2 linked regions of the Callithrix jacchus genome follow. The protein of the gene in region 1 purifies or fractionates together with the protein of each later gene. This does not show direct contact. Links are inferred from orthologs where the notes say so. Each region holds a gene or a part of one and is shown on either strand. Other genes may lie near its edges. The genes, in order: CD19 and CD81.

Region 1 (2,627 bases):
CAGAACCTTGCCCCAGAACTGGAGGCCCTAGGTTTAGATCCCACTCCATGGTTCATGGCCAGGTTCCTAGACTCAAGAGTCCATTCGCAGAGCCCAAAGCATCCTCTTCTCGTGCCCTGCCGCGCGGATCTTTAGCCTTAACCGCCCCCATCTCTTCTGATCCCTCTTTACAACGCCCCTCTCGCCAGGACGCGCCCAGCGTTGGGCCGCGGGCCTAGGGGGCACAGCCCCGTCTTATAGAAACCCGCGCAGCGACGTCGAGGCGGATGGAACCGTGGGGTCCCGGAGCCCCCCGGGAGCGGGTGAATGACTGGGGGAGGGAGGGGTCGTTCCCCACATGGAGGGGGTTGGAGCGGTCTGTGGCTGGAATAGTGGACTGGGGCAGGGAGGAGAGGGGGCCTGACTCGGTTCCAATCCCCATCCCCAAATCCCCAGGACCAGAAGAAGAGGAAGGGGAGGGCTATGAGGAGCCGGACAGTGAGGAGGGCTCTGAGTTCTATGAGAACGACTCCAGCCTTGGGCAGGACCAGCTTTCCCAGGGTAAGGCTGCCCTCCCCCGTGGCCCTCCACTTCTCTGTGGTGAACTGTGGACACCCATGGACATTCTTCCTTCTCCACCAGATGGCAGCGGCTACGAAAACCCTGAGGACGAGCCCCTGGGTCCTGAGGATGAAGACTCCTTCTCCAATGGTAACTTGGGGCCTTTGTGGGACCTTGAGAGACTTAGGTGTAATTGCAGTGCTGTGATACCCCTAGAAGGGGTCCCTGGAGTTCTCTCTCTTCTGCCGCAGCTGAGTCTTATGAGAACGAGGATGAAGAGCTGACCCAGCCAGTCTCCAGGACAATGGGTGTGTGTGAGGATGGTAACAGTGCAGGGGGAAGGTGGAGGATGCTTGGAGGCCAGGAGGAATAGCAACCCCCTCTTCCCTTTCCAGACTTCCTGAGCCCCCATGGGTCTGCCTGGGACCCCAGCCGGGAAGCAACCTCCCTGGGTGAGAGCTGCTTGCCACCAGACTGCCTTACACAGCTTGGGTGACCGGGACTCAGCTCTGACACCAGACCCAACTTTGACCGGCCTCTGACCCCAAACCCAAACCCAATCCTGACCTTAGATTTCACTCCTAACTCTATCCTCAACACTGATCCCCATTCCCCATCCTGACCCCCGAGTACTTACCCCCTCCCTAACTGTGAATGTCAACACGGATCTCAATCCAGTACCATCCTGGACTTGACCTCTGCCTCACCTCAGCCCCAGTGCAGACTGAAACTTGGACCCCAGCTCACTCTGTGGCTTCTTCATGACTCTGACTCCCTCCAGTTTTTTTTTTTTTTAAGACTGAGTCTTACTCTGTCACCCAGGCTGGAGTGCAGTAGCTCACTGCCACCTCTGCCTCCCAGTTTCAAGTGATTCTCAGGCCTCATCCTTGTGAGTAGCTGGCATTACAGACGTTTGCCACCACCCTTGGCTAATTTTTCTATTTTCAGTAGAGATGGGGTTTCGCCATGTTGGCCAGACTGGTCTCAAACTCCTGACCTCAGGTGATCTGCCTGCCTCAGCTTCCCAAAATGCTGGCATTACAGGCATGAGCCACTGAACCTGGCCAGTTCTGTTCTTGACCTCTTCTCTAGCCATAATCTAACCCATACCTAAAGCTGAACCTATAGCTAACCAGGGCCCCAAACCCTATGCTGGCCGAATCACCCCTTCCCAGCACAGCATGGGTGATGCCCCTCACCTTCCTCTGTCCCCCAGTCTCCCTCCTTACCGTAGGCTGTACTTTCCACACCCAAGCCTCCAATTATCCATCTCCGCCCAAGCAGGGTCCCAGTCCTACGAGGATATGAGAGGGATCCTGTATTCAGCCCCCCAGCTCCGCTCCATTCGGGGCCAGCCTGGACCCAATCATGAGGAAGGTGGGTGATTCTGCTGCTGTCCCCTCCTGTCCCCTGGGCTGACTTCACCTCCCAGCCTACTTCCATTGCTACCCGTGTTCTCCTCCTCCCTGGTTCTGTCCAGATGCAGACTCTTATGAGAACATGGATAATCCTGATAGGCCAGACCCACCTTGGGGAGGAGGAGGCCACGTGGGCACCTGGGGTGCCAGGTGATCCTCAGGTGGCCAGGTGAGCTGGGACTGCCCCTAGGGAAAGGGGGGAGGGAGGGAGATAGGCAGGGATGGCAGTGGTGCTGGCTGTCAGGGAGGAAGAAGGAACAGGGCTCCTAGGGCCTGGTGGCCAGGGGGAGGGACTGCTGGAACCCTCCTCATCACTGTTTCTTCTGCATAGCCTGGATCTCCTCAGGTCCCCAAGATTCACACCTGGCTCTGAAATCTGAAGACCTCAAGCAGATATGATGCCAACCTCTGGAGCAATGTTGCTCAGGATGTGTGCATGTGTGTGCGTGTGTGCGTGCATGTGCATGTGCGTGTGGTGTGTATACATGCCAGTGACACTTCCGGTCCCTTTTGCATTCCTAAATAAACTCAATGAGCTCTTCCAATCCTATGAAGTAGTGCCCTTGTGTGGGAAGGGAAGGGAAGGCATCTTGAGTCCCATGGAGGAGGGAGGGCTGCCTTCTGCATACAAAGGGCCTTTTCCTGGCTCGGTGGCCCACACCTGTACTC
Region 2 (4,394 bases), on another chromosome or scaffold:
GACACAGTGTGTGTGGATCTGCCCTCTCCTCCAGCTTCCTGAGAGTGGGATCAGTGTCTCCCTCCACCCACCTCCCCCTGCTGAGGACACAGCCCATGCCTTTAACGGGAAGTGTCCCCCTCACTGGGGACAGCAGTGAGCTGACAGGAGAGCAGGTGTTCAGGACACCCAGAGAAATGTTTCCTCACACTGGAACTCTTCCTGTCGCCTTCGAAACAAAAAGAATCCTTGAAGACTCTCAAGGGATCATTTAAGAGTCTTTTCTTATAATGTCACTTCGACTGGCACAAAACGTAAAACTAGGCATAAACCAGTGCTTATGTTCTTATGCAGGCATGAAGCCAAAGTCAGTTTAAAAAGTAACCACCAAAAAAACTAGCAGAGCACAGCCGATTCCAATAGAACCGTTCTGCCCACTGTGAGCGCTACCGGCCACCCAGGGCCACGTGAATTTAAATTACAATGAAACACAATGAAAGATTCAGTTCCTCGTGGCCACATTTCCAGTACCCAGTAGCCACTCACGCCAGGGGTTATCCAGGTACAGAACATCCCCATGGTTGCAGAAGGTTCTATTCCACAGCGCTGGGTTGGACGACATTTGCTAGGACTGGCTGGCTAGAGGACCGGTTCTCCGAACCTTGTCCCACGTGGTTCCCAGGTAAGCTCCCCCCCATGACGCATCTGCGTTGTGGGAAACCGTCGGTGAGTCATCTGCTGCAAAAGCCTCCGCTCCTTCATCTGGGGAGAAGCACCCCTCACTCTGAATCATTAGCCCAAAGCAGTGAGTGCAGCGTGCCTGGCCCCACACCTTCCGGAAGGCTGGCATCCCTGGGGCGCGACACACCAGGGCATAGATGAAATAGATACAGTATTTGGAGGTTCTCCTGCAGGTGGCTCTGGCCTCCCAGACACTTCACACTGGTTGGGAGCCGCCCTCTCAGGCCCCAGTGACCTTTTCAGATGCAGACTCCCGCAGCATGGGTCAGCAACTCCCCGCTTCCATGGGACAGGGATTGGTTGCCTCTACTAGGACCTTCAGGCCAACACCCACTTGCTAGGGGGCCTCATGCCCAGGTTCCAGCCCCCGAGAGCAATGTGAGCAAAGCTTGCTGTCTTTGCAAAGCCAACCGCTGCGGCATCACCTCCTTCGGGGAGCCCGCCCGGATTGTCCAAGGTGCTTGAGAGAGGGAGGAATAGGTTGCTCTCCAAGCACCCGGGCTGCCCTCCTGGGCAGAGGCTGCATGCCTGTCCCCAGGCGCGGTCCTGCTGCCACCCTCGGGGACTCCGAGCGCGATAGCAGCCCGGGGACGCCTCCCGCGCCCAGTGCGGTGCACCCAGGGCCCTGAGGTCCCGGCCGAAATGCTCCGAGTTGGGGAGGTGCAGCGCCCCACACACCCCCCGGCTGCGCGCCCTGGCGGCAGGAGGCGGGGCAGGGGCGGGGCTGAGGCTGGCCGGGGCGGGGCCTACGGGGGGAGGGGCCGCGGCGCCTTTAAGTGGTGCGGAGCGGGGCGCGCGCCCGGCCAGAGAGCGAGCGCGCAGCTGCGGCGACAGCGGCGACCCTAGCGCGCATCCGGCGAGGCGACCCCACCGCGCATCCTCCCGCGCCCCCCGCGCCCCCGCGCCGCGTTCTTCGCGCCCCAGCATCTCGGCCCGCCAGGCCCCCCTGCCGGCCGCCCGCCAGGCCACGCGCCGGCCCGCCCGCCGCCCAGGACCGGCCCGCGCCCCGCAGGCCGCCCGCCACCCGCGCCGCCATGGGAGTGGAGGGCTGCACCAAGTGCATCAAGTACCTGCTCTTCGTCTTCAACTTCGTCTTCTGGGTAAGGGCCGGGCCGGGGTCCGGGGTCCGGGGCTGGGGGCACGCACCCCACCTCGGCTTCCGGCAGGTCCCGCAGCCGGGCGCTAGGCCCCGAGGGCGCAGCGCGGGCCGCGAAGTTGTGGGGCCACCTGTGGGCTCCGGGAGCGAAGTGGGGGTTCGCCCGGGGCCGCCGCGCCCCCCGACATTGGTGCTGGGGGCTGCGAGCCGAGTTTCGGGGCCTCTGTGCGCGAGGGCCCAGCACGGCGGCCGGGCGGGGGTTCTGGGGGCCGCCGGGCAGTTCCTGCTAAGTGGTGGTGATGGGTGCGGTGGGCGCGGGCCTGGATCCGAGTACCCGGTTGCCCCTCAGCTGAGCAGGGGCACGCGGGGTCCGCTGGCCGCGGATTCGGGACCGTTGCCTTTCGGGGACGAAGGGGGGGGCTCGCGGGCGGGACTCCTGGCGCCCCGCCCCCATGAGCTCATCAGGGCCGCCGCCCCTGGATGGTGGGGCGGGGGCGCACACTTTGCCGGAGCCCTGGGGCCATGCGCCTGACCCACTTCCCGGCCCAGCTTACTCTACAGTCTGCTGTCAGCACCTGGGACCTTCCTGGGGGTCGCGCTTAGGGAAGGAGCGCAGACACCCTCCGGGATGGCCCAAAAGCTGGGGTGCACGCACCCTGGCGGTCCCTAGCTGGGGGCCGGTCTCCCGCTCCTCACCCAGACACGTTCCAGCCTAGGCCTCTCCCCAGAAGGGCTCTGGAGGCCTTGCGGGAGTTGGGTCCCGCGGCCCTCAGTTGGCACAAGGAATATAGTAGCGCCAGGGGCTTGGAGTGGGTGCCAGGGTCTGGGCGTGGGCCCGCTGCTTTAGAAAGGGGCCCCCACACTGGGCATCTTTGGGTGCCAACGTAGGTGAAGGAGGGTCTCCCGCTGAGGGTGGCTTTCTCCTGCCCGCAGGCTTTGCTGTTGGGAAGTGACTGACGGGCTTTCGCCTTTTGTTTCCATTTCCGCCACTGTTGGAATTGAGGAGGGGGTGGAAATCCCTTCTTGGCCTGGAAGGACTGGAGTGGGTGTCCATGGCCTTGGCTTCCCTGTGGCCACGCCCCTGGGCAGAGATTGCTAGCCCCTCCCCTTGCCTCCCCCAGGCTGTCACCCCCTTCTCGTGGAAGACTCGGCTGAGGTCCCGGTAGAATGAGTGTTTCTCAAGTTAAGGCAGAGAGGGCAAACTTTTAAAATGGCCCCTGGAGCCACTGTGCGGGACCAGGGACATCTGTTTTCCATCTGGAGGGCTAAGGATCCCAGCACGGATCTGGGGCAGGGAGATTATTTGGAGGGAGAAGGACAGAGGCTGGACTGAACTCTCAGCTGGGAGAGGAGTGAGGCAGTCACATCCCACCTTCCCCAAGGCTGTTCTGCATAGCCTGCCCGGGACACTGGTGGGAGTCACCCCGTCCATCGGCTCTGCCCGGGCAGTGGGGGCAGCGAGGCTGCCTGGGAAAGGGTTACCCTCCCCAGGCATGGCCCTGGGACCTCGGCAGGTCCTTAATGATGGCCTGCTTCTGGCTGGGCAGGTGGGAGAGGCCCAGGACCCAAGGACATCCATCCCTCTGCTGGCCCTGGAGCCCCATCCCCTGCCGAGGAGAATGTGAACCTGGAGACAGGGGCTGAAGGGGGTCGGGGAAGGGGACTTCTCCAGAGGCGGACTTTTGCTCTCTGGATGGTGCGTCAGCGCTGGATGAGCCCCTCCTGCCTGCCCAGGCTGAGAGGTCTCCCTGGCAGCCCTCTGGGAGCGTCGCCAGGGCGGGCCTGGAAGTTTCCCAGGCAGCTGGGGTGGAGGCCTGATGTATCCCAGGGGTGCTCATTATTAAGCCTCAAGGAAATGGTTCCGAGCCCTCGCCTCTGTGCTCCCGCAAAGCATTGAGAACTGGTTCCATCCACAGTTACTGTGAGCCATCCATCCACTGGGGCTCTGCGGTAGCCAGAAATGCCAGGCTGGGTGATGGGGGGCTGGTAAGCACCACCCTGCGGGAGCCCCCTCCACCCTGGCATCACAGGGCGTGTGGCTGAGGGCACCGTGCCATGGGCTTGGGCCTTCCCCGTCTGCATTTCGGGTCCTCAGTGAGCGTGCCTTCTGGGGTTGCTGGTGGGTTCCCTGACATGCCTGAGTGCTGGTGGGGGCCTTGGTGCAGGAAGGGCTCAGGGCATGGGTGTTGGGCAGGGCTCCAAAGGGACCCCAACCTCAGAGCACGCAGTCTGGCCAGGCAGGATGTGCTGTGCAGAGGGGCTGCGGGACCCCTGCAGGGCCCAGAGGGCACAGTGTAGTCCTGTGGGCTCAGGTGAGGCTGGTGGGAGTAGGCTGACAATGGGTGTCTGGATGGACACTTGTTAAAAGTTCCATTTTAGAGAGGACCTCTTCCCCAGGAAGGAGCCCACGCACACACGAACATGCACTCATACACACATACACGCATTCACACTTGCTGTCCCCCTCCCCAAGCCAAGGTGCAGGGGTGGGGGGGGCCAGGCATTGAGCAGGTGTGCCCTGACTGCTTTGGGGCCGGCGAGAACTGGGCTCCCTGGGTGCAGGGCCAGCCGGTCCAAG

What was found.
Region 2: the proteins of CD19 (region 1) and CD81 purify together in Homo sapiens (affinity purification with western blotting, with the first as the bait; 3 studies listed by BioGRID). This does not show direct contact. The link is inferred for Callithrix jacchus from reciprocal best matches to the Homo sapiens genes CD19 and CD81.

What each region holds. Positions count from the first base shown.
Region 1 is NC_133513.1:29,024,559-29,027,185, reverse strand, and holds the end of CD19 (B-lymphocyte antigen CD19 precursor), read left to right. Parts: intron 1-188; coding exon 189-302; intron 303-435; coding exon 436-540; intron 541-621; coding exon 622-690; intron 691-791; coding exon 792-848; intron 849-935; coding exon 936-992; intron 993-1,824; coding exon 1,825-1,917; intron 1,918-2,020; coding exon 2,021-2,112; 3' UTR 2,113-2,125; downstream 2,126-2,627. UniProt on the Homo sapiens protein: Functions as a coreceptor for the B-cell antigen receptor complex (BCR) on B-lymphocytes. Decreases the threshold for activation of downstream signaling pathways and for triggering B-cell responses to antigens.
Region 2 is NC_133511.1:129,492,002-129,496,395, reverse strand, and holds the start of CD81 (CD81 antigen), read left to right. Parts: upstream 1-1,525; 5' UTR 1,526-1,754; coding exon 1,755-1,820; intron 1,821-4,394. UniProt on the Homo sapiens protein: Structural component of specialized membrane microdomains known as tetraspanin-enriched microdomains (TERMs), which act as platforms for receptor clustering and signaling.